Arabidopsis thaliana: one gene and its partners. The protein of the gene in region 3 purifies or fractionates together with the protein of the main gene of each other region. This does not show direct contact. Each region holds a gene or a part of one and is shown on either strand. Other genes may lie near its edges.

The links. The genes of interacting proteins can lie anywhere in the genome.
Region 1: the proteins of AT5G23250 (region 3) and iPGAM2 fractionate together in Arabidopsis thaliana (co-fractionation; one large-scale study listed by BioGRID). This does not show direct contact.
Region 2: the proteins of AT5G23250 (region 3) and MSD1 fractionate together in Arabidopsis thaliana (co-fractionation; one large-scale study listed by BioGRID). This does not show direct contact.

What each region holds. Positions count from the first base shown.
Region 1 is NC_003074.8:2,606,624-2,615,673, reverse strand, and holds iPGAM2 (Phosphoglycerate mutase, 2,3-bisphosphoglycerate-independent), read left to right. Parts: upstream 1-4,118; 5' UTR 4,119-4,344; exon of another isoform or gene 4,345-4,434; 5' UTR 4,435-4,436; coding exon 4,437-4,601; intron 4,602-4,696; coding exon 4,697-4,975; intron 4,976-5,058; coding exon 5,059-5,262; intron 5,263-5,353; coding exon 5,354-5,778; intron 5,779-6,080; coding exon 6,081-6,273; intron 6,274-6,352; coding exon 6,353-6,448; intron 6,449-6,537; coding exon 6,538-6,693; intron 6,694-6,826; coding exon 6,827-6,991; 3' UTR 6,992-7,366; downstream 7,367-9,050. Other genes in the region: AT3G08600 (transmembrane protein, putative (DUF1191)), read right to left, coding at 2,078-3,028; AAC1 (ADP/ATP carrier 1), read left to right, coding at 8,644-9,050.
Region 2 is NC_003074.8:3,413,630-3,421,576, forward strand, and holds MSD1 (manganese superoxide dismutase 1), read left to right. Parts: upstream 1-4,310; 5' UTR 4,311-4,385; coding exon 4,386-4,680; intron 4,681-5,158; coding exon 5,159-5,205; intron 5,206-5,285; coding exon 5,286-5,411; intron 5,412-5,522; coding exon 5,523-5,579; intron 5,580-5,698; coding exon 5,699-5,776; intron 5,777-5,859; coding exon 5,860-5,952; 3' UTR 5,953-6,263; downstream 6,264-7,947. Other genes in the region: AT3G10915 (Reticulon family protein), read right to left, coding at 2,472-2,638, 2,816-2,885, 2,989-3,130, 3,227-3,407, 3,748-3,827, 3,960-4,075; AT3G10930 (uncharacterized protein), read right to left, coding at 6,599-6,904. UniProt on the Arabidopsis thaliana protein: Destroys superoxide anion radicals which are normally produced within the cells and which are toxic to biological systems.
Region 3 is NC_003076.8:7,826,560-7,834,885, reverse strand, and holds AT5G23250 (Succinyl-CoA ligase, alpha subunit), read right to left. Parts: upstream 4,531-8,326; 5' UTR 4,427-4,530; coding exon 4,190-4,426; intron 3,957-4,189; coding exon 3,747-3,956; intron 3,629-3,746; coding exon 3,458-3,628; intron 3,250-3,457; coding exon 3,126-3,249; coding exon of another isoform or gene 3,100-3,125; exon of another isoform or gene 2,861-3,099; coding exon 2,799-2,860; intron 2,711-2,798; coding exon 2,629-2,710; coding exon of another isoform or gene 2,621-2,628; exon of another isoform or gene 2,535-2,620; coding exon 2,395-2,534; 3' UTR 2,043-2,394; downstream 1-2,042. Other genes in the region: AT5G23240 (DNAJ heat shock N-terminal domain-containing protein), read left to right, coding at 6,352-6,684, 6,771-7,027, 7,151-7,334, 7,406-8,029; NIC2 (nicotinamidase 2), read left to right, coding at 8,285-8,326. UniProt on the Arabidopsis thaliana protein: Succinyl-CoA synthetase functions in the citric acid cycle (TCA), coupling the hydrolysis of succinyl-CoA to the synthesis of ATP and thus represents the only step of substrate-level phosphorylation in the TCA.

The sequences.
Region 1 (9,050 bases), on a different chromosome or scaffold from region 3:
CCACTTGTGGTGACAAATAAAGTGCATTCCAGAAGAAGAAGAAGCTGGGGGATCTAGTACTTTCATTCCCATTTGATTTTCCTTGGACATATTAAAGCTTTCAGAAATCAGACCTCAATAACATTTGGTTTATCAATATTTCTCTATTCGTGATATTTTGTATGCTTTTAAGTTGCATGATACACTGAACTACTCTCTTGCTGTGTGAGTGAATAAATGAATATCTGGAAAGATGGCTCATCCTAGTACTTCTCTCATTCCTAGTTATACTTTCAAAAGCATCAGTATCATCTTCAGGTGTTGGATTTGTTGCGGGTAGGAACTGGAATTGTATAAGATGGAAGTGGAGATTGTGAATATGCATGAGAGAGTCCAATGAAGCCTTGTGATGATGAATCACATGGTTTATGACTCTGGCTAATAATGGAGGATGGTTGATGAATGAGAACGGTCAAAGCCTCTGTCTCTGCTTGCAGATTCACATGGGGTCCCCTCGCTATGTCTCTTTCAAGTGGGCTCGTCTCTTAATTCTTCTTCGAAATGGTCCACCTTGTGACGAAACCTATCTTTTTTAATTGTTTTTGCTCAAAGGAATATTTTTTATTTAATGTAACTAAATCGATCTTACCAACCAACACAACTACATAGATTCACTTCTAATTTCTCTTTAAAACGACACCAGCTTCTGCCAAAAATTACAACTCCTCAGGCAGAGAGAGTTCTTCTTCTTTCCTTTACTTTTTCATGTGTTCACAAACAAGCTCTTGATTATGATAAATTACATAATCAAATCTTTTATTTTCTCCGGTTCATTAAGATTCGATCAACCACACCAGAATATGAGCTAGGAAAAATATGAAAGACCAATGTTGAGAGGAATCTCTTTTACTCTTTAGTGAAAAAGAAGCTTGTTTTCATTTTACCGTTGAGACCTGACTTTGATGTATTTCTTTAGCTTTCTAATAGAACAGATAACAGAAAAAGAAGAAAAGAGACGAATATTCTACAACTATAGTTTCCTTTTGACAAAAACTGGCAATTATTTGTGTGTCCTTGAAACACAATTAATACCGCATTTATACATTTTACTTCATCTCTTTTTCAACCTTAAGATTTTGGAATGATGAGACAAAAAATCTCCTGGTATCTGCAGAAGTCAGAGGAGATGCTGCAATGCTAACTTAGCCATTAACGTTGTTGTCATGGCATTTTACTTGATATGAGCAAGAGGCCACAAGATGGCCCAAGCCAGGATTAACCAAGTCATGTATTCACTTTAACTCAAACTTTATTCCAAATCTGTTCAGTGCAAAGATTTGTAGCTGTGCACATTGTTACATACCTGAAGTGGCAAACGGTGCTTTTCTAAAATGTAGAATGCAAAAAATCCATATGAACGAGATGACTTTTCATATAAGGTAAGCAAACAAGACAATCCTAGATGTAAACATAAACGTTGTAACATTGCCAAGTGCAAATCATCTTCTACATATCCTACCGGATTCTAACCTCTTTGGTTCCAAAATCTATTGGTTCATCGGTGATCTTCTAATATAAATGTGAGGGTCAACAAGTTGCATGAAGCAGATAGCTGCAAAAAATGTTAAAACTCAACAAATCTCAAGAACACACTAGTTCCTTTTGAAGAATGCTAAGCTCAATGTAACAAAGTTGAGTATGGATGATAGGATGATATACATCTTCTTCAACTGTCTGCTTCTCAGACAAAAAGATGTTGAAATTATTACAAAAAGGGCAAAGCTTTACAGCAAAAGTAGTTAGAAGAAAACAAAGTGAGTGCACTCCAGAAACAATCCAACTCTTTTCATTCTCATGGAGAGACCACCAAAGTTTGTTAATTTGAGAGCACAAGAAGAAAACAATATTACTTATTTCCTTATCACCAGCAGAGAAACAAGATGAATGTGGAAGTATCAACTTGCTTACCACAAAGAAAAAATAATCAGAAAAAGAAACACTTTACCAAAAGAAGAATAATTGTAGAAGAAAAAAAGAAAAAGACAGTAACAGATGATCAAGAAGATGTGATGATGATGATGATGTACACAAAAGTATCCTAAGCTGCGTATTCGGTTTCAAGCATTGGTTGTGTACGAGTCGTAGTAGCAGTTGGTGCTCTTGTTTCACCAACCTGAGTCATCCTCAGAGCTTCCCCTGTCTCTCCAGCTCTCTCCATCTCCCTCATTTTCTCTTGCTTCTTGTAATTTCGACATCTCAAAACCAGAAACAGTAAAAGCCCCAACAGTATCAATCCACCAACCACCGACCCAACAATGATCCAAGTCTTGGAATTGGAATCAGAGCTCTTCTTCTTCTTCTTACTCTCAATCCCAGGAGGAGCTAGACTCGGAGCAGAAGCCACAGATTTCACCACCACAGAGAAATGTCCCTGATGCTCAGTCTCGCATGTGTTTCCAGGCTGAATCGAATCGCTGAAACTCGCTTCACCTTTAGAATCGAATCTAACACACTTAGCACTAGACCCTTGCGGGATTCGTTCCAGATCAGAGAAATCGATTCTGATAGGATCATTAGACACCCTTAAATCAAGCTGAGGCAAATTAAGCGCAGAGAGATTCTTAGCATCGTAAGCGAGAAGACCCAAGACAGGAGCGACATAATCATAACCAGACAAAGGGTAATACAAGTGAGAGAAATTAGCTAGGTTTTGATAAACCAAAACAAGCCTTGTCACATACGGCTTGACGATAACGCCGCTGGGAATTGAGAACTCATTAAAAGGAGTGACTCCACGTTTTCTAAAGCTTCCGCTTCTGAGTCTCATAGCAGCGAGTTTGATCCCAGTCAAATTGGAAGGAACAGTAGTAGCCTCGTAGAGAATGCCGGTACGAGGACGAAGCAAGGCTCTAAAAGAGTAATCTTGAAGAAGAGCATCGAGTGAAGAAGAAGAAGAAGCATTGGGTGAAGAAGATTGAGCAGAGAGCTTTTGTAGACGAAGAGATAGAAACAGAAGCAGCAGCAGCTGGAGACAACGGAGAAACCCCATTGCTTTTTTTTGTTTCTTTCGCCTCTGGAGCAAAAAAAAATCCCCCCAGGGCGAGTCAAAGGTGGGAGACACAGGAATAAAAAGTCGCCGTCACGTCTGAGTAGAAAAAGGGTAAAAAGGGGAAATGGTGAAGAGAAGAACAAATCGAGGAATGAGGGTTAAGGAGCAATGGAGGAAGCTGAGGAGGAGGAGGAGGAGGAGGAGGAGAGAGAATGAATGGTCGCCGGTGGAAAAGAGAGAGAGAGAGAAAGGAGAGAAGGAGAGAGCCAAAAGGACAAAAAGGAGAAGAAGAGTGTTGTCGTCAGTCCCATTTGTTCACAAAAAAAAAAATGATACAGCCTGTTCATCTGATTTTTTCTCCCTTTACACATTAACAAAAATTTAATATTTTGTTTGTTTTTTTTACTTTCCTTTTCGACCAATCATATTGATACATTGCGGCATTCAATTTCGCCGTAACAGTTGTCCGTCTACCTCTTATTGTGTTATCTGTATCTCTCTCTGTATATTTCCCATATATGTATACTGTATGATTCTTTTCTACTTTTGTTTTTGTCTTTCCTTATCCTTGGCCCATTTATCTGACTATGAACCACGTCTCATCTAGTTTCAGGCTTTTTAAGCCCAATATATAGGAACTCAACTTTTTGTCTTTGGCCCATTAGAAATTGTTTTTTAGCCTTCTACCAACCTTTTGAAGGTTCCCAGTTAATATTATGATGATATTGAATAAATAAATGTGCACAACCCTGAATTTCTTACATGAGTTTTCGGTTTGGTTTTCGTGTAATTTCAGTTTGATTTAATGCAATCTCAAGGTTTAAATAATGATTTAGATAAAAAAAAGTTACTGTCAACAGAAATTAATGTAATCCCAGTTACTAAAACTTACCCATTTTTGATCAAATTCTGGTTCAAATACCGTATAAACTATTAAGTTAACTCCGGTTTGACCTTTTCTGTATGCTATTTTTTACGTTGACCAAAATAAAAAGGTATATACAATTTTTTTTACATGGCGCACACCATGACTATTACAAACGGCATGATCCAGAACATTCGTTCATAGCAGCTAAAACTAGAACATTCGTCTCCTTCCATTTTTTTGGGGGCTTCACAATGTTTACTTGAGCCCAAAGTAAAGCCCATTAAATTGGTACCACGTCATCGCTAACTTTTCCATTTCTATGTTTCTATAAAAGTCTCATATTATGTCAGTGATAGCTCTCAACCTACCATACTTCACCACATAACCACTTCTGTCTCTGCGAATCTCCATAAGACTCTTTGAGAAGCTTTCCTCTGTTTCTCCGCTGGTAAGCTTCCGTTATCTCTCTCTCTCTCGCTTCTCAGATCTGTTCCTTAAACCTTTAATTTCTCACCGACGAGTGGATCTGAATCCACAGTTATGGGTAGCTCCGGCGACGTTAACTGGAAACTTGCGGACCACCCCAAGCTTCCCAAAGGCAAAACTATCGGTTTGATTGTTCTCGATGGATGGGGTGAATCTGATCCCGATCAATACAATTGCATCCATAAAGCTCCAACTCCTGCCATGGATTCCCTTAAAGACGTATGTTTCCTTTTTTGTTTATATCCACTTCTTTCCTCGATGATTTCGCTGGATTCCGATTATGGACTTCAACGGTTCGATTTTATTCTTCACAGGGGAAGCCCGACACATGGAGGTTGATCAAAGCTCATGGTACCGCCGTTGGTCTCCCCAGCGAAGACGACATGGGAAACAGTGAAGTTGGCCACAATGCTCTTGGAGCTGGTCGAATTTACGCTCAAGGTGCTAAGCTTGTTGATCTCGCCCTTGCTTCAGGGAAAATCTATGAAGATGAAGGTTTCAAATACATCTCTCAATCTTTTGAGAAAGGCACTGTGCACCTTATTGGTCTTCTAAGCGATGGTGGAGTTCACTCTCGTTTGGATCAAGTCCAGGTACTTAATTCTCATCTGTTACACATTTCTTTTGAAACGTTGGCGTTTGTTAATTTTCTTTAATTTGGTTCTGTTTGGTGCAGTTGCTGCTTAAGGGTTTTGCAGAACGTGGTGCTAAGAGAATCCGCGTCCATATTCTTACTGATGGTCGTGATGTTTTGGATGGTTCTAGTGTCGGATTTGTTGAAACTCTTGAAGCTGACCTAGCTGCTTTACGTGCGAAAGGTGTTGATGCTCAGGTTGCATCTGGTGGAGGTCGAATGTATGTCACAATGGACCGTTATGAGGTAGGCAATGCTTGTGAGATCTTGTATGAATGTCATGCCTTGTCTAGTCTAGTTTAGAAATGAATCCAATTTTTGCTTTCCTTCCTTGCAGAATGATTGGAGTGTTGTTAAACGAGGTTGGGATGCACAAGTCCTTGGGGAAGCTCCCCACAAATTTAAAAGCGCTCTTGAAGCAGTTAAGACACTGAGGGCAGAACCTGGTGCCAATGACCAGTATTTGCCTTCGTTTGTTATTGTTGATGATAATGGAAAGGCTGTGGGTCCAATTGTTGATGGTGACGCAGTTGTTACATTCAATTTCCGTGCTGATCGAATGGTCATGCATGCAAAGGCCCTCGAATACAAAGATTTCGACAAGTTTGATCGCGTACGTGTCCCTGATATACGTTATGCAGGAATGCTCCAATATGATGGAGAGCTTAAGCTTCCTAGCCGCTATCTTGTTTCTCCACCATTGATTGACAGAACTTCTGGTGAATATCTGGCACACAATGGCGTTCGTACTTTTGCTTGCAGGTTAACTTTTAGAATCTCTCAAATCTTTAGTTATTGTCTTTGCCATTTTCTTCTATTGCTGCTTCCTGGTTTATTTATTTGCTGGAATTGGATTCATAATTGAAACTGTGATAAGAGTAATCCAGTCTTCTTTACTTGCTCGGTAGAGGTCTAATTTATGATTGGGGGTTGTTTGTTGATTAAAACTAGTGAAATCTCCTAGCTCACTTTTTCTTGATGAGATTATACCGTTGATGGTTAGTTACATATAATGAATGAATTCTCAGCTATTAACCTATTAAAATTTTATTTCACTGAAACAGTGAGACTGTGAAGTTTGGCCATGTAACCTTCTTCTGGAATGGCAACCGCTCTGGATATTTCAATGAAAAGTTAGAAGAGTACGTTGAGATTCCAAGTGATAGTGGAATATCATTCAATGTCCAGCCAAAGATGAAAGCACTGGAAATTGCCGAGAAAGCAAGGGATGCTATCCTTAGTGGCAAGTTTGACCAGGTAAGGTGTATTCTCTTATCACATTGTATCAACCCATTAAAACAATTGGCTTCTGAGTTTGGTGCCAATGGATTTTCAGGTGCGTGTAAACCTGCCAAATGGAGATATGGTGGGGCATACTGGTGATATTGAAGCAACTGTTGTTGCCTGTGAAGCTGCTGATCGTGCTGTGAGGGTATGATTTCAATAAATTTGTGACATGGGAATGTTAGAAACCGTTCTTAGTAGCAATGACTCACTTAGTTTTGGTGTCCTGGTTTGCAGACAATCCTTGATGCCATAGAACAGGTCGGAGGGATATACGTTGTGACTGCAGATCACGGAAATGCTGAGGACATGGTTAAAAGGGACAAATCCGGCAAGCCTGCTCTCGATAAGGAAGGGAACCTTCAGATTCTTACCTCTCACACCCTTAAACCAGTAAGTTCTAGCACTACTAAAACAGTTCGTGTTATGACCATTGCAACTGAGCATAGATTAAGCATGAGGGGTTGTAATACCAGAAGTGGTTGGTGTATCTTATATGAAATTTGGACATGATGTGTGTGTGCAGGTGCCAATTGCCATAGGAGGTCCTGGCTTGTCAGCAGGAGTTAGGTTTAGACAGGATATCGAGACACCTGGGCTTGCAAATGTAGCTGCGACAGTGATGAACCTCCATGGATTTGTGGCCCCGAGTGACTATGAGACAAGTCTGATCGAAGTCGTCGAGAAGTGATGATTCTTGTTGTTGTAGTTCTTTTTAAAAGTCCCACCTGAGCCTCTATAGACTCTGATTCTCTTTTAAGTTACTATTTTCACCGCTCTCTAATAAGGCTCGTGATTTTTTGGGAGCCATACTGTATACTCGCCGGCCCTCTCACGATGTTGTTCAATTCACAGACTAAATTTGATTTATCTATTTCGCCAAAACATAACTTCATTAAAAAATGTTCTCCAAATAACTAAACGAATTAAATAAAAGAAACCTTTCATGTAAAGTTAAAGGTATGAGACTTTAAGGGCAGTTGCTGAACATTCGTAACACATGGGAGAACAATAGAGAAAGTTGAAAAGAAACGTAGCATATAGAAAAATTATCTTTGTAACCAAGTTGATTTAGAAAAATATCACTATTTGTGAAAAATACTAGATCAGTTTATTATTACTTTTTTTTTTTTTGTATATTCACAAATATCATATTCATATAGAAGAAAATAAACAAAGTTGTAAAAATCTGGCATTTAAAATAAAATTGAACACTTCAATTTATTTCCTTTCATAATAATAATTTTGGCATAAGATATTTGCAAATTGATCTGGTTCGGTATGGTCGACAAAATAATTTTCCACGCTACCCTTCCAGCCGTCCATTCACTATTTGCCCTCAACGTTACCAAATAACGGTCCAGATTCCTAGGGCAAGATCTAACGGTTAGCAAGTAAAGTCGTACCATCAGAAAGAATAACAATTCTTTCACAAAGTAAACATAACCAACGGTTAACAAGTTCTTAGGGTTAAATCAGTAAGATCCAACGGATATTAAATTGCAAGGCCCAAATAGTTTTTTTGCAGCAGATAATAACTCGTCCCCACTGGCGAGTGACGACCGAGACTCTGTGACCCTATTTTTCGAGACGATAAAAGGGCAAACAATCGCTCTTTTCAAAGCTCGCCTCTTCACCACAGAGAAAACTTCGTCTCTCTTCTCTGCTTCGCCCTCTCATTTCCTGTGAGATAAAGGCGGAGTCTCTCTCCAGTTATTTTGCTCATCCATCGATTCTTAGGTATGACTCGTTTCTCTCAGATCTGTGATTCTTTATAATCTCGTCGTTCTTCAAATCATTGTTATATTCGTTTCTTCGATCTGTGTTTTTTAGATCTGTAAGGTAAATGAGACGTTTCGATCTGTAGATCTGATTGTTATATTGATAGATTATGTTATCTGCTTTGCTTAAAGTCCGATCGGAATGTTTTGTGCTCATTGTCGAATATCTGATGTATCGGTTTCATAGATCTGCTTCTTTTTGTGCGTTTCGTTGATCTGATAATCTTCTAGTGATCAAAATCGTTTGGATCTGTTGACTTTAGTTTAAAATGTATCCGATCTGATGTCGAGGCTTCATTATTGGAAGTTGTTATTGTTGTAATCCTGATTTAAGTTGCTGTTCTTAAATTTATATGATCTTTGCGTTATAATATGACATGGTAGATCTTGGTTCATGGTTCACTGTTTTCCAATAAACTTGGTTTGTTTGGTTGGATAGCGTTCTGTGATACGACCATGTCTTGTGTTGGATAAGAATTCTCTGAATTTCCTTGGCTGGTTTGTAGTATGTTATTCACGTCTGGTTTCTCATCAATGATTATGTGATTTTGCAGAGTTCAAAATGGTTGATCAAGTTCAGCACCCCACTATTGCGCAGAAAGCTGCCGGGCAGTTCATGCGTTCAAGTGTTTCCAAGGACGTTCAAGTGGGTTACCAGAGGCCTTCTATGTATCAAAGACATGCAACCTACGGAAACTACTCCAATGCTGCATTTCAATTTCCTCCGACATCCCGGATGTTGGCAACAACTGCTTCTCCCGTGTTTGTCCAAACCCCAGGAGAGAAGGGGTTCACTAACTTTGCCCTTGACTTTCTGATGGGTGGTGTTTCTGCTGCCGTCTCCAAGACTGCTGCTGCTCCTATTGAACGTGTTAAGCTTTTGATCCAGAACCAGGATGAGATGATTAAAGCTGGCAGGCTTTCTGAACCCTACAAGGGTATTGGTGACTGTTTCGGCAGGACGATTAA
Region 2 (7,947 bases), on a different chromosome or scaffold from region 3:
GAGAAGCAGAGGAGAGAAGGAAAAAAAAAGCTTGATCACTTCACCTTCAAGACTCGTCTTGTTGGACAAATCGAATGACAAAAGAGATGGAGAAGAGAGAATCGATATCCCTCATGTTCTTAAAAACTCTTAATGAATTAATCTCTGTACTCTTTATTTCTGAGCTTTGATCTTTTTCTGATTTGCTTCTTCCTCGTGACTTGTGTGTAAAGATGGGAGGAGGCAAAAATATTTATGGCAAGATTGTGATAAAAGGAGTCATAAATGAATTTATGGGCGACTCTCTTTTGAGAGATATGATGATGTGGTTGGTCCAAGAAATTCTTTGGTTTTAAAAAAACCATATCATTGTTATTATTTATATATGTAGCAAGTGAATGGTCACTTTTTAATTTTGTTTGTATTGGTTGAGGTCAAATTTTTATTCGCTCTATATATCGTTTGAGAGGCTAGAATCAGTGATTTTCATATTAATAGAAGCAAAAATGCAAATTTTAAAATTAAACGTTGGTATATCATGGTCATTTAATTCTATGTTGTTTTGAAACATGCGCTTTTTGGCCTGTAAGATTCCAAGATTAGTATACACTTTGATCCGGAATAATAATAAAAAAAAAAGTATGAACATTGATTTACAATTTATGCTTAAAACACAAATTAGAACATGTATTGGGCCACTATATATATAATTTATACCGTAAATGTATGTACCAAAAATAATTTTGATCTCTATTTGTGGCCTTGTGGGACACAATCTTTGTTCAAATGTTTATTGTATCGGTTGTGTATTGGATAAATATAAAGGATAGAGCAAAGAAGAAGACAAATAAGAAAAAGATTAGTTTAGTAGATATGAGAATTGACAACTAACAAACTCATTATTAGTGGTTTTAAGAACTTTGGAATCAAGCTAAAAGGAATTAATTCTCAATTAAGAAAAACTACAAATGAGATTTGATGTAGAAAAGCAATATTGGATTATATAAACTGTATGGTTGGGGTATCACATTCCCAACTAAACATGACGAATATAATTAACATATCATATATCGATTTATTCCATGGTTTTGGTTTTCTTGTGGGTAGACACATCTTTAATAACCAATTTGGTTTTGGCTACCACCTTGGTTTCGTGTATTTGGTCAAGGCCAAAAGATTTTCCATTTGTTTGGTCATTGCAAATTCCATATGATGGTATGTAGAATTCGAAGATTCTGATGATGAAAAAATAATGTATATATGTAGTTGGTTTACGAATCAAATGGTCCAAACAAAATCATGTGGCACTTACGGGTCCACAACCACAAGTATAAGAAGTCCAATTCAAACACACTAGTTAATGTAGAAATACAAATAAAATTAAATAGAATTACGAGTTCACGCAAAGGTCACAACACTTGTCTCTCTTAGCTTCAATAAGTTCCATTAGTTGATAACAACACTCCAACGTTAGAGATCCATCAAACCCCATACACGAGTCTATTTTGTGTATTTACTATGTCTATTTATCAGATTCAAATGCTTGGTTAGAAGTTGCTATGGGTCTCATATAGTCAGAAAATTTAAGGTACTCGTATTTAATTCGTATATGTACATCAGTACAGATAACATGTACATCTATGTCTAATTGATCAAGTTGTTAGAATAAAGAATAATTATTTAAATTTAGATGATGGCCATTTTAGGTTATACTAGACATAAAAATGATAGGATATATATAAAAAGTTGAAGACATAAAAAGATCAATACATGATAGGATTTATATATACAAGCAAATGAGTACTGTATGAGTTGTGAAAGATAAACATATATACCACCACGAAAGAGTGTGATACAAGTAAAATTCATTTAATTAATATAAAATATAGTAGGTGGACATGGAGATGGAATACTATATCATCATAGAATTTCATTTTATGTAATGAAATGATAGTCGTTGAAAGAAAACATGATAAATTAAAATGGAATTCGTAGGAATACGTAATAGAGTTTGATCATCTTCATTGATATGACCATGTATAATACTATAACAACACAAGTGACTACACCTACTCAATCATGTAGTATAGTCATTACTTGTAGACTTGTTGTAGCACTGTTTTTCTTTTCCTGACGTCATATTTGTAGCAAGTCCGATTAAATTGTGTAAGTGAGGTTCTTCTGTGACGTGAACACGTGACCTAACATTCTCAGCATATGGGCATTAAAGTTGGGCTAGTCAAATCCATCTGAAATGTGAGTATTGTTCTGCGCCACGACGTCGTTTAACGAACAGCGGTGTTAAACTTTTTTTGTATTTTTTCCTCCAGTGGTGTTAAGCTTCAGACGAAGGCAAGAGTTAATTTAGTTGAACAAAGAAACCATCTTATATTCATTCTGGATATGGCGTTTAGTTATACTACAAATGGTGAATAACAAGAAAAGCTAAACAAAAACAAGTAAAAGCATTCTCAGAATCACCAAAGTTAAGCTCATGAATCTTTATCCTTGGATAAGCTCCATGAGAGTCTGCTTATAACATTTTCGTCTACTATTTTGTAGTGGTGAGACAACCGCCTGTGAATCGTCCCGCAACACTTGTCTACTTTGCTTTGATATTTACTGTACAAAGCCGGTATTGTTACAGATAGGATGGTCCCTGTTCACACCATAAAAAGTATAAACTTCATATAAGAATTTGGTTCACTGAGTTTAAAACAACAATGTCGCAGGAACTAAAACGAGATCAACAAGCCAACGTGGGGGATGAAACTGAAGGATCAAAAAACATAGAAGCTTTTTCCTTTCATTTGCATTTAAGGATCAAGTTACTAACCGATGTAAAGAAGAGTGCAGAGAGATATATAGCTACCAATGGCAGAGAGAAGCCACAGACAAATCACCACCTGCTAAAGAAAAATCGTCAGACCAACAGTTCAGATGCTTAACGGTTCCCATGTCATTTCACTCAACATCATCGTGAGTTTCTGAATGGGTTAGCTTCATAACCTTGAAGAAGAGTCGAAAATCGTTGCCAACTGTGACATCATGAGCCATTACAAGCAAGTGATTGAGTTTTATACGGAAAGAAGCTGCAGCACTATTCACCATTTCCTCTGATAGAACAAGCTCTGGCAACGAATGCAACTGTCTGCTTATAAAGAGATAACAGGTAGAAATCATCACTAATCAGTCACATAACAGCAAAGAATTAAGAAAAAGAAGACTAGTGAAAAGTAGAGCGCACCTATTCCTAAAAGCAGAAACCCGGGCATGAACGAATGATATCATGATCACGATGAGTAAGACATCCGAAGAAACAGATAAGAAAGGCAACCCGGAAAACTCGAATATAAGCCAGGCTACAGTTGATATAATGATAACCCCCAAAGAAAGATGTCGCCTCCTCCATAAGAGCAAGTCAGCAGCTACATCAAAGAACAAAGCCATACAAAAATCACAAACAGTAGCTTTTTGCTGGACCTATGAACTCATCATGCGTATCCAGAGATTTGAATCAATCAATTTCTCATTCAAAATCAAACCTAAACCTAACTTTCACCTGCCAAGTTTTCCATTTTCTACTATACCCAAAATGCTAAATGTACTTACACACATGACGATTTTCACAACCAACCAAAATCAGAAACCCTAACTATTCCAACTATCATCCCCAATTTGAATTTTCTGTTCTGTAAATCCGAGAAAATTCTCATCACAAACTACCAAAATGATGAAAAAACACAAATTCTGGAAAAAAGAACTCGCCTTTGCCACCACCCATGAACTGATGAACCGTAATCTGCCGACCCAACAATCGATAATCCGATGACGATCCTCCTTCATTTCTTCCATCGAAATCACCATCGATATCACTTAAACTATCCATCGGAGAATTAAAAAAAAAAAACCGAATTTACACAAATTCTCCGACTTCCAGGTTCCTATTTCGATCTCGCCGACTCCGATTTGAAATTTACCTTAAAGATACGATCTCAGTACAATGGTTTGTGAAAGCAGCTAGATTGATGGGAGAATGACAGCGATTGGGTGGATTATCAAGGAGGAACCAAATAGAATTGGCTTTCACATGCATCCAACAAATTCAACATTTGGAAATTCTCCGTTTCTAGTCAACTTTCTTCATTTCTTTATTTTTTTCCTGTGAACAAACAAAAAAGTAACATTTAGCCGTCACAAAATATTAAAAATTACGCTTTATTATATTAAGGCCTTGGGCTCACTAATCCAATATTACGGCCCATAAATAAAAATCACATGTCTACGTGTCAAAACAGTCACTTTTCTCTATACATGACAGGCAGTGATATTATCATAACCCTCCACTTATACACATGTTCATTTTTGGCGACCACTAGAAGGAGAAACAAATCTTCATTCCAACAATGGCGATTCGTTGTGTAGCGAGTAGAAAAACCCTAGCCGGCTTGAAGGAGACATCATCGAGGCTATTGAGGATCAGAGGGATTCAGACTTTTACGCTTCCTGATCTTCCTTACGATTATGGCGCATTGGAACCGGCCATTAGTGGAGAGATCATGCAGATTCATCACCAGAAGCATCACCAGGCTTATGTTACTAATTACAATAATGCTCTTGAGCAGCTTGATCAAGCTGTGAACAAGGGAGATGCTTCCACTGTTGTTAAGTTGCAGAGCGCCATCAAATTCAACGGCGGAGGTGTGTTTGTGTGTCTGACTCTCTTTTTTTTTTTTTTTTACGATCTCGATTTCTATGTGTTTGATCGATTGGTTTGTGTTTAGATCGTGTTTGGATGATATTAGCAAATGAAGTAGTTGATTTAGGAGAGAAATTTGGTTTGAACAGTGAAGCTGATGAGTAATTTTGATGAATTGGGATGAAACTTCTGTAAGAATCAATGAAACTTTTATCGGTAATGCAAGCTTTCTTAGATAGCTACTTTTGTTTGCTGGGTCTTGAGATCATAACCAGTTGATTTAGTATAGAACTTTTGTTAGGAACATTGAAGCTGTTGATTAATTTTGATGACTATAGTTTGGTATTAGGATTGTTGCTTCTTGAGCTCCGGACCGGTTGGATTGATAGAAGAGAAATTGGCAGAGAAACTATTGGAAATAAATTGAGTTTTTTGTGTGCTAGAGAATGGGAATTGATCGACTTTATTTCTAACGTGCAGGTCATGTCAACCATTCGATTTTCTGGAAGAACCTTGCTCCTTCCAGTGTGAGCTTGTGTTTTGAGTTTCTGTGTATTTCTTCGATTTTGTTGTTCTGTAATTGATGGTTTGTTTTAATGTATAACAGGAAGGTGGTGGAGAGCCACCAAAAGGATCTCTTGGTAGTGCCATTGACGCTCACTTTGGCTCCCTTGAAGGTCTGGTGAAAAAGATGAGTGCTGAGGGTGCTGCAGTGCAAGGCTCAGGATGGGTGGTCTGTAGTCTAGTTTCACCTTTTTATTTCATCTGCTCACATTGTCGACTCTGGTGCTTTACGTATAATAACCATGGTCCTTGATTCGCTTGTTTCTGTTGATTAATTCAGTGGCTCGGACTAGACAAAGAACTGAAGAAGCTAGTTGTTGACACAACTGCCAATCAGGTAACTTATCCATGATCAGGAATGCGCTATTGAATATGTTCAAAAGATTTCTTGGTACTCATGAACATCTGTGAGAATAATGGGTTTTAAAGAAAAAGAGTTTGTTTCGGTTGGTGCAGGATCCATTAGTGACAAAAGGAGGAAGCTTGGTACCTCTGGTGGGTATAGATGTTTGGGAGCACGCCTACTACTTGCAGGTAACAACACTTTTGATACCTTAAGTCTCATGAGTTAGCTTAAAAGATTAAGCTCTCTAATCAATCTGTATTCTCTCATTCAGTACAAAAATGTGAGGCCTGAGTATCTGAAGAATGTATGGAAAGTGATCAACTGGAAATATGCAAGCGAGGTTTATGAGAAGGAAAACAACTGAATCGTTTACACGATGACATAAGGAGATGAACCAGTTCCAGCTCAGCTTTTGTTTTAAGGTTGTCTGAAACAAACTTACAGTGTCTCTTTGGTTTTTAAGATTTGCTCAACTCAGCTGTGTGGTACGTTGTTTTACAATGAAAGTTTTCAAGAATAAAAATTTGCTATTATTGTCAGAAAGCGCTATTGTTTATTCTACGAAGAAAACAAAACGGAATCTTATTGGTATAATAATTACCTCATTTCAATAAAACAATAACTAATTTTCTCGTTTTTCACTACTCGACACATATATGACAGGAATATTATAACGAAGAAATTTGGGATTAATGAAATTTGTGAAATAATGCATACACACTTGTGTAATAAAAATGCATTATCTTTGTGTCTGCGTTGTGGAAAATGGATCATAGTCAAGTCTCATAAAAAACGCGTTCAATTCAATTTATACATATTTCGCCTAACTTTTGATTCTTTACGCCTTGGCCCCATTCTTATCTTTTAATTTTATCTCTTTCTTGGAAGTTACCCAAACACTAATACAATGTCAATTCAAATGGTATCCTTGACTCTTTTATGCGTTTAACTTAAAAGACTTTCTTAGTCTAAATAAAATTGATACATAATCATAGAAATTAAAAAGCTGATTAACGTTTATCAAAGAAATATTGATGAAACGATACAAGATGATAGTCTAAGTCTTGATCATTTCGACTTACATTACCAAATAAAATCCTCATTTTTCCTAAACTTCTACTGTAAATTTCTGTAATACATGTAACATTTACAATAATCTCTATTTGAAAACGAAAAATCAAAGAATCTCTAAAGAACAAAAAAAGAAAGAAGTAAGAATTAGGACAGAAAACTCTAGAAAGAATAGTGCTAAGTCTTGACGTCGTTAGTTTTCTTGCTGGGTCCAGACCCCGGACGACTCCCTTTCGGAAGAGCATTCAACACCAAGGACCCGAACTTTCCGGCGACAACTTCAGGAACAAAAGAAGAATATTCCGTCTTGGTCTCCTGCTCGCCTCCGCAACCAACCACCGCCGACTTAGAAACAGGAGGGATCTCTCCGGAGAAGATGACTGGAACAAACTCTCCGGGTAAGATCCTCGCCGTCGATAGAGAAACAGAGATGAAAAGAAGAATCAAAAGTAAAGATCTGTTAATCGCCATCTGTAAAAATCTTTTTGTGGACTATTTTTTTGTTGGATTAGTCTTGCTTGGTTTGTAAAATGATGAAGTGGGTGAAGATCAAAGAGAGAGTGTATCCATTATATATATACGGAGTTTGTGAAAGTGCGAAAGGTCAATGGGGGGAGTTGGAAAACTTACGCGGCAAGTGTTCGGACTAAACAATAGTGTTGAATAAATTGGTCCTTTCCATCGAGTCCAATTAAAAATATCATTTTCATTTGTAACGAGTTAACTTTTTTTTGTTTTATTTTTAAAATTCTAAACGTGTGTGGTAAGCTGAAATAAAACATAAAAAAACAATGATTCGGTTATCGATTTTGGTTGAAATGCAATCAATCAACAAAGATGTGCTTAGTTTAGAAATAGGTTTAAATGAAATATTAGAAAACACAAGAGTGAAAGAGACCATTGAGAAACAGAAAACGTTTACATATAATTCGGAAATATGATATCAGTTTATTTTATTTTATTTTTACTTTTTGTCAAAATTGTTGTGCTGAAATTGATAGATTACTTATTATAGTGCATGATCTTGTATTACATGGACATTTTGAATAACATTCACGAGTTTCATCATCAAGTATAATATTAACAAGAACATTTAAACAGAGGTATGCAACTATTGCATCTACTTTGTGAACCCTATAAGTTTGTCGTATGATCATCAAACTATACAAATATTTTCATGAAATGAATGTGCATATCAAATCACAAAATAAAAAGAAGATAAGATTTACACTTTTTAAGTCATTAATGGAATTTCCAACTGCTACCAAGAAAAGCCGTAGCCCACCGT
Region 3 (8,326 bases):
ATAATTTACTATATATTTGATGCTGAAACTCGAACACTGAAATTCTGAAAAGGAAATTGGCATCTAGATCCTTTGATTCATAGTTTCTAATTGCCATAAATATATATATATACTAGATAAGGCCCGCCTATTTAGGCGGGAGTACCTGAAATTTTTAAATACTTGAACGGGTCTAAACTTCAAAATCTAAAAAACTCGAACCAGAACCTGAATAGGTATCCAAACATATCTCAAATATAAATATATATTAGTTACATTTATACTTATATATAGAAAATATTAGGATTTTTTTGGATATATTAGTTATTTTTGTGTATTTTTAGAAATATTCAATCAAAACTACTCGTGTTGTTTTGGAAATTTTTGAAAATTTCAAATAATTTAATAGATTTGCACACAAAATTTGATATTTCAATATATAAATAAACTCGAACCCGAACCCGAACCCAAACTGAACCCGACCCGAAATCTTAAATTACCCGAACGGGTCATAAACTTCTAAACCCGAAAACCCGAACCCGAAATACCCGATCCGAATACCCAAACGCCTAGGCTTAATAATTAATAGAAAATCAGAAATCCACAAAAATATTTAGAAACCAAACATTGTTGAAAATATATTTTTTATATATGCCGTAATCTCGTAAGCTAATTTTACATCATGCAAATTAATATTAAATGAGTTAAAATTAATAAATGAAAATAATTGAAAAGTTAAATCTTATAAGCTAAGCTATTTTTCTCAAAATATTCTATTTTCACTTATAATTACATGAGTTAAACACATATTTGTTAATTTTCTTTTTTTGAATAAATGTTAATTGTTTATAAATATATAGACATATAAATTAGTATATGTAAATTTGTTTACTTTTTAAGATTTTCTATTTTTTTAGAGAATAAAAAAGTTAAATTTTGAATGACACATGTAAACATCTGATCGTTTGACTTGACACGTGGCACGATCCTATGAGTTAGCAACTTTGAAAACCATACTTTATATAATAAGATATATATATATTCAGTAATTAGCAGCGCTACACCTGCCTACAGGCTACGCCTACATGATAAGATTGAGAACAAAAATTATTAATGATATGAATATACACAGTGGAATCATTCCAGTGATCATGTTTTAACAAATTTAAATAGAAAAATAGAATTTAGGAGTTTTGCCTATGGTGAAAAAGTCATTTATTATAACAAGATGATCCGTACGTAGATAAATTTTACCTATATGTGACAAATGGTAAATGCCTTGCAAAGTGAAAAATCGTGTTGAAACTTGAACTTAATGGTCTAAACAATATACTGTATACAATTAAATATATCATTAATTCCATTTAAATTCTAACGTCCTAAAGTCGTTTCCTTTGAATTTTTGGGTCACAGGATTTTTAAGGAAGCAGAGAGAGTAATGGTCAGTCGTCTGTTCTGTCAGAAGACTCACAAGAAACATGTTATGGTTTCTAAATTAGGAAACTAATGATCAAAGAGGAAGAGTTGGGTCCAAGGCTATTTCCGTCATTTCCACTGTCACACTTTCTCATCTGCTGCCCCTATGTTGTCCTACATTACACATACGTATATAACAGATCTATGTAAATACTAAATATAAAATGAGCTAATTTCTTTTTCTATTGATTTGCCTAATTTAATGATAAATGTTTCGATTTATCTTTTGAGAGGCTTACGAAAACTTATTATACAAATAGAGTAAAACGTAATGCAAATTGCATAAATTGTAATTTGATGGAACATCTGACGTAAGCGTCTTTATCTGAACCAGTGATAACCATTGATTAGTACACGTAGTAGTAATTAATTAATGACAACGTCCTCATGAATTACCATTGATTACCTAGGACCCAATTATAGACCTCTTTGCTTTTGTTTTTGTCATTTTACTTAAATGCATTCTCATTGTCAATTGTTTTTTCCCAATATTATTATATTATGAATCTCTTCATTCATATTCACGACACTAATTAAAATCATTTTGATTAGCTGTCATTTTTTGGGGTTAATTGTTAGTTAAAATTAAAGAAAAGGTTTGTTTTACAACAATACTCATAGCATAGCAGACAAAAGTTGGAATCAACATAGCTAAATTAGTTGATTTTGATTCTTAAAAGAAGAAATTTGTGCAATTGATTCGTTCTCATTTTTTGTAACTTAACCAAAACAAAGACAAAAAAAAAATAGAACGGCTCAATAAATTGAAAAATAGAATGGCATAGACAAAAAAAAAAGTGACTATTTTTTTTTCTCTGCAATTATCTCCATGGTAAGGAATTTTAGGAATTCCGTTTCACTCTTCTATTTTGGCAAACTGTTGTTATTAGAGAGGTTGATTCCTGAAACAACTCATTGTATTATGATATTACTTCAGTTTCACTTCAAAAGACCTCTTTCTTGGAAAAGCTCAAACATCGCCGCACCAATCTTAGCTGGTGACTCAACCACCTTAACTCCTGCGTCTCTTAGGCTCTTTATCTTGTCTTGAGCCGTGCCCTTACCACCGGAAACAATGGCTTCATCGATCCCAAAAAAAACATTACAAGATTTAATAATGGGTTCGAGTGGGAAACTGTGAATGAATGAAAGAGCTGAGTAAAGTTTATTTACCTCCCGCATGACCCATACGACGCCCTGGTGGTGCAGTAAGTCCGGCTATGAAAGCAACTACAGGCTTGTCTGTACCATTTTCCTGTTTAATTGAAAACAGGATATGTTTTTACGCTTGATCATCTAAAAATGGTAACTCTTGATTCTTTAGAAAGAAGCATTGCAGTTACCTTTATCAAAGCAGCGGCATCTTCTTCTGCAGTCCCACCGATTTCTCCAATGAGAACGATACCTGAAAATAAATCAATAATTTCTTAGTAACAAAACAATGCTGGATTCTTTCACTAATCTACAAAACAGAGCGAGACTGTAATATCGATAAAGCTGTGTCTATTACTGCAAATGAATCACCTTTTTCTACATACTAAAGAACTAGTAGTAGTCTTGGGATATCAACTACATATTAAAAGTAAGTGACTAACAGGAAACAATGAATTTAGACAAATAGGAAAAGATATAAGATGTATGGAATCAATTATGGTGTCCGAAACCGAGACCTTCTGTTTGGGGGTCAACAAAGAACTTCTCCAAGCAGTCAACAAAATTTGTCCCATTAAACGGATCCCCACCAATTCCTACACAAGTAGATTGCCCCAAACCTACTGCAGTAGTTTGGAAAACCTGCATGAAAGATTAACCAAAATGCAACCATTAGAAGAAGTACTTAATAAGCAGGTCTTCCAGTAAGGAACTGACATCAGTGAAAGCTTAATCTAACAATCGACGGAGTAGAGGTTCTTAAGTAAGACAACTACTCATGCTAAAGGCTATGGAGTCAATAAGTTGAGAAAGACAGAGACAAACATGAAGGCAACACAAAGAACCTTACAGCTTCATATGTCAATGTTCCAGATCGAGAAACAATCCCTATCTTCCCCGGCTTGTGTATGTATCCTGGCATGATCCCAATCTTGCATTCACCAGGTTTGATAATACCAGGACAATTAGGGCCAATCAGCCTAGTTTTTGATTGACTGTTAAGAGCAGCCTTTACACGAACCTACATTACAAAAGCCAGAGAAATCAGTAGAGCCACCTTATATTACTGTGCAAACCTATCATATAAAGAAGATATCACAAAAAAAAAAAAAAAGGAAACTGGTAACAACGACTATTACCATGTCATGTTGAGGAATTCCTTCAGTGATACAAACAATAAGATCTAACTCAGCAGCTAAACCTTCCATGATAGCAGCAGCAGCGAAAGGCGCAGGTACGTAGATCACAGAGGCATTGGCTTTAGTCTCAGCCTTAGCTTCAGCAACAGTGTTGAAAACAGGTAGCCCCAAATGTTCTGTTCCACCCTTCTTTGGTGTCACTCCTGCTACCTATTAACCAAACAACCACAAACCTAAAATAAGATCATCACAAGCTTTAAAGCAAACACAAAACAAACACCATTTCATCAACATAAACGAACCAATTCCAAGTGAACTTGAGAGATGAAATAGTAAAGAATCGGCTCTTATGATCGTACTTAAGAACTCCATACATAGAATCTGAATTGCTCAAAAACACCAAGAAGTACATTTGAATCTATGTGAATTCTCGAATACAATACCATTTTGGTGCCGTATTCAATGGCTTGTTCAGTGTGGAAGGTCCCGTTCTTTCCGGTAATACCTTGGCAGATGACACGTGTATTTTTGTCGACAAAGACCGCCGCAGGAGGCGGAGGAGTTGTCCCGAAGGAGCGAGACTGTACCAATGAAGTGAGAGAGCAGACCTTTGAGCTGCCGCTGCAGCCGCCGCCGGAATGGCGAAGAGATCCGAGAAGTCTCGTGACCTGCCTAGACATGGCTGTTTCAATGATCTAAAATTCTTAAACCTACGATTCCGAATTTTGTACTGAACCCTATTCAGCGAAATGGGAAAGGAAATTTTCAGCGATCTTCGTTGAAGAATTAACGAAAGCTTTTGGGCTTAATTTAATGGATCCATATTAAGGCCCATTGATTTGAGTCCAAACAAAATTATACTCTTTTTTTTTTTTTTTCTTGTGCACACAAAATTATAGGGTGAATTGCAAAACTAGCTACTTTTGATAATGTAATTAAGAATATAGCATCATATATATAGAAATTAAGAAAGTAACATGTAAGGGTAGGGAAAAGACAATTTTAATGTTGACTCATAGGTGAGATGATTTACTAACCTTTATTTTAGTTTTTATCCATTTATATATGTTTGCTATATATCTTTTCCAAAAAATAGATTTCAATTCTGAAATTTAGTAGAGAAAAATATATGTTTTTTTCTACATACAGAATAGTTTGAATTTTTAAAATCGGATTTGAATTTTAAAAATAGAAATAGTGTTTGTAAGTAAAAAATATATTGTACTATTTAAGATGTATAGAAATAAAATATTGTTCTATACTATTTTCATAACTGATTTGTAAATCAATTTTAATTTTAGTATAGAGCAAAATGTTTTAAATATAAAGTAATAGTGTTGGTAGTGGTGATGAGATAGTAGTTTATGTTACGTTAATATAGCATTATAATCAATTAAATGTTTTTGTTGGAAGGATACTAAACCCTAAGTGGATAATATATTGGGAACCCAAAGATTTCAATCTAAAATTTAATATTCTTTAACCATAGAAAAATAGAATAATATATGTTTGTCATCACTACCAACATAACGAGTAGCACAGCACAAGATAGTCTCTTGGTAGAGGAAAGAAGTGGTAGTAGAGAACACCGGGTACACCATTTGGGTTCCACAATCGAGGGCACAAGGAGACACGAACTCGCCACACTTAACTAGAAATTGATGTAACTCCAAAAAAATCCAAAATTTTACCTTTGTAAATCAAAACCCCCAATTCAATTTAATCACAAACCCTAGACGTCAATTCCAAAAATTAAATGTATTGATTCCGTCGCCAATACATCTCCATTGAACGTTTTCAGAATCCGAAGCTTTACAAAAAGGAGATAGTAATTTTTGGGACCCAAAAAGCTGTTGGAATGTTAACAGCTGATGAGAAAGTGTTTTTTGGAAAGAGAGAAGAAGAAGAAGAAAAAGAGCCTGTATCTCAGGCAAAGGGTAGCATTGTCATTATTACAGAAAATACAAATAATATCAGTATCTTTTTGTGGGATGGTTAGTTACTTAATTATAATTTTTTTGTAGATTAAAAACTCAAATTTCTCAAAATTATACTCTCCTAAGTAGAAAAATTTTACAAGTTTGATTTCTTGAAAATTGATATTATAATTTATTTTTCTGATTAGGGTGGGAAGATTCTTTATAATTTTTTTGGTTTACCTGAAAATGAAAGAAAAGATTGTAAGAAAGATACAACAAGTGTAGACTGGATCTTTTAAAGTCCAAACCAAAAGCCAAAAATTAGGTAACCTAAATATGTAAGACTTTATTTTTTGGTTTTTCTTATTAAAACAACATTTCGATAATTCATTATGATATTTTTTACGCTATGATCCTCAGCCTTAAACTTTCATTCGTATAGAAGGATAATATCATAATAGTACAACTCTTTTAATTGCCACCAATCAACTTTATTGTCTGCTTTCAAAAATTTTATTTTTTATAAAATATTATTCATTTTAGCTATAACTCAATTTGGAACTTTTATTCGTCCCAAATAAAATATCTTTCCAAGAGAGATGGAAAAATAGCTTCATATAGAGATATTTTCAACAACTTGTCCCTCTCTAAACTCATCCACCTTCCAAAACAGAGAAGGGGAAAATATGACACCGGCTATTTTTTCTCCGACGACTCTTCCTCCATCAACTGCTACATGGCCATGTTCAACATCTCAGAAGCTCATCACCGTTAGATCACCACTCAAGTTCAAGTGTAGAGCAACTTCATCATCATCGTCTATCACTGACTTTGATCTTTATGACCTCTTGGGTATTGATCGAAGTTCTGATAAGTCTCAGATCAAATCAGCCTATCGTGCGTTGCAGAAACGATGTCATCCAGATATCGCAGGAGATCCCGGTCATGATATGGCCATCATTCTTAACGAGGCTTACCAGCTTCTCTCTGATCCGATCTCGCGCCAAGCCTATGACAAGGTTATAATTCTTATATTGCTTCTTTGATCTTGTAGTCTCTGTCAAGGTCACACTAAGTAAATATGAATGAAACTTTCTTGTTGTAGGAGCAAGCAAAACTAGAAGAACTCAGAGGCTATACAGGGAAACCGATATACTCGGTTTGGTGTGGACCAGAAACAGAGCAACGAGCTGCGTTTGTGGACGAGGTTAAGTGTGTTGGGTGTTTGAAGTGTGCTTTGTGTGCAGAGAAAACATTTGCTATTGAAACTGCTTACGGGAGAGCGAGGGTTGTTGCTCAATGGGCTGATCCTGAATCCAAAATCAAAGAAGCCATCGAAGCTTGCCCTGTAGACTGCATTTCGTAAGCACTTAACTAGTAGATGTAGTAATGGTTTTGTTTCATTTCCCTCTCTATATGTGAAGTCAATAGAGACAAGACAACTAGAGAAATACATAAAAGTATGATACTTTATGAGATGTGCAGAATGGTGGAGAGATCTGACCTTGCTCCATTGGAGTTCCTTATGTCAAAGCAACCACGAGGCAACGTGAGGATCGGGGTTGGAAACACGGTTGGTGAGCGTGTCTCCAATGTATTTGTTGATGTCAAGAAGTTCCAAGAAAGATACGCTAAAGCTATGAGCAGAACCACAAAAGAGACCTCCCAGGTGAGTTATCTATAGTCAAGTTATACACTTACATGTAAGATATTAAGTAGTTTTGTTGGGATGTTTCACAGAGAGAAGTACAAATAAGTGCAGTAGAGGCGATTAGGTCCATTTCCAATTGGCTATACTGGAGATCATCACCGTACACGAAACCATTGAGTCCAGAATCAAACATGAGTCTAACTTTTACCAAAAGAAAGAAAGCTGTTGATCCAGATATCAGAAAGCTTCAAGATGTTGTGGCAGCAATGAAACAAGCAGACCAAAGCGGAAGAACCAAAGAGAAAGGATCAGCTTACTTGCTTGGAGAAGATTACTGGAGTCCATCAAACGCTGCTCTTCCCTCATCTGGAAACAACAACGGTTCCAAAGCTAGCTCGAATCCGCAAGTGACTCGTAAGACATTTCCTTCAGAAGAGAAACCAACTAGTAGAAGAGAAAATAGAAGACAGTTCAGGATAAAGAAATTTCCAATTGGGACAGCCATAGTAGCAGTATTCTTGGTTCAGTACCAAGCAAGTTACAGAGCCGCCTCTGAGCTCAACGACCATATCGGCGGCTCGCTGGCTTTATCCATAGTTAACAGTCCATGGCAGCAGATATTGTTAGCAGGAGTTACATGGTACTTCATTGGAGCAATGTTACTCCAACTTGTGGAAGCTGTTCAACACAAGCTAGAAGATAAAGAAACATAAGATTCATAGATCATATATATGTACATCATATCCCTCTTTAGAGCAGGTACTCGTGTTCACCTGCAAATGTAACAAAGAACATTATACTATACAACAAATATACACATTGAATTATACCTGTATAACCAACATAGGTCAAGATTACATCATACGTGGGCTAGGCCCATTTTATATTGGCCCAATAAGTGAGTGACTAAATCCTTTCGTTCCCAAATATATCTCCACCGATCAAGAGATTCATCTTCACCGCCAGAAATGGCTTCTTCATCATCGAGAACGTACGAGACACGAAAGCGA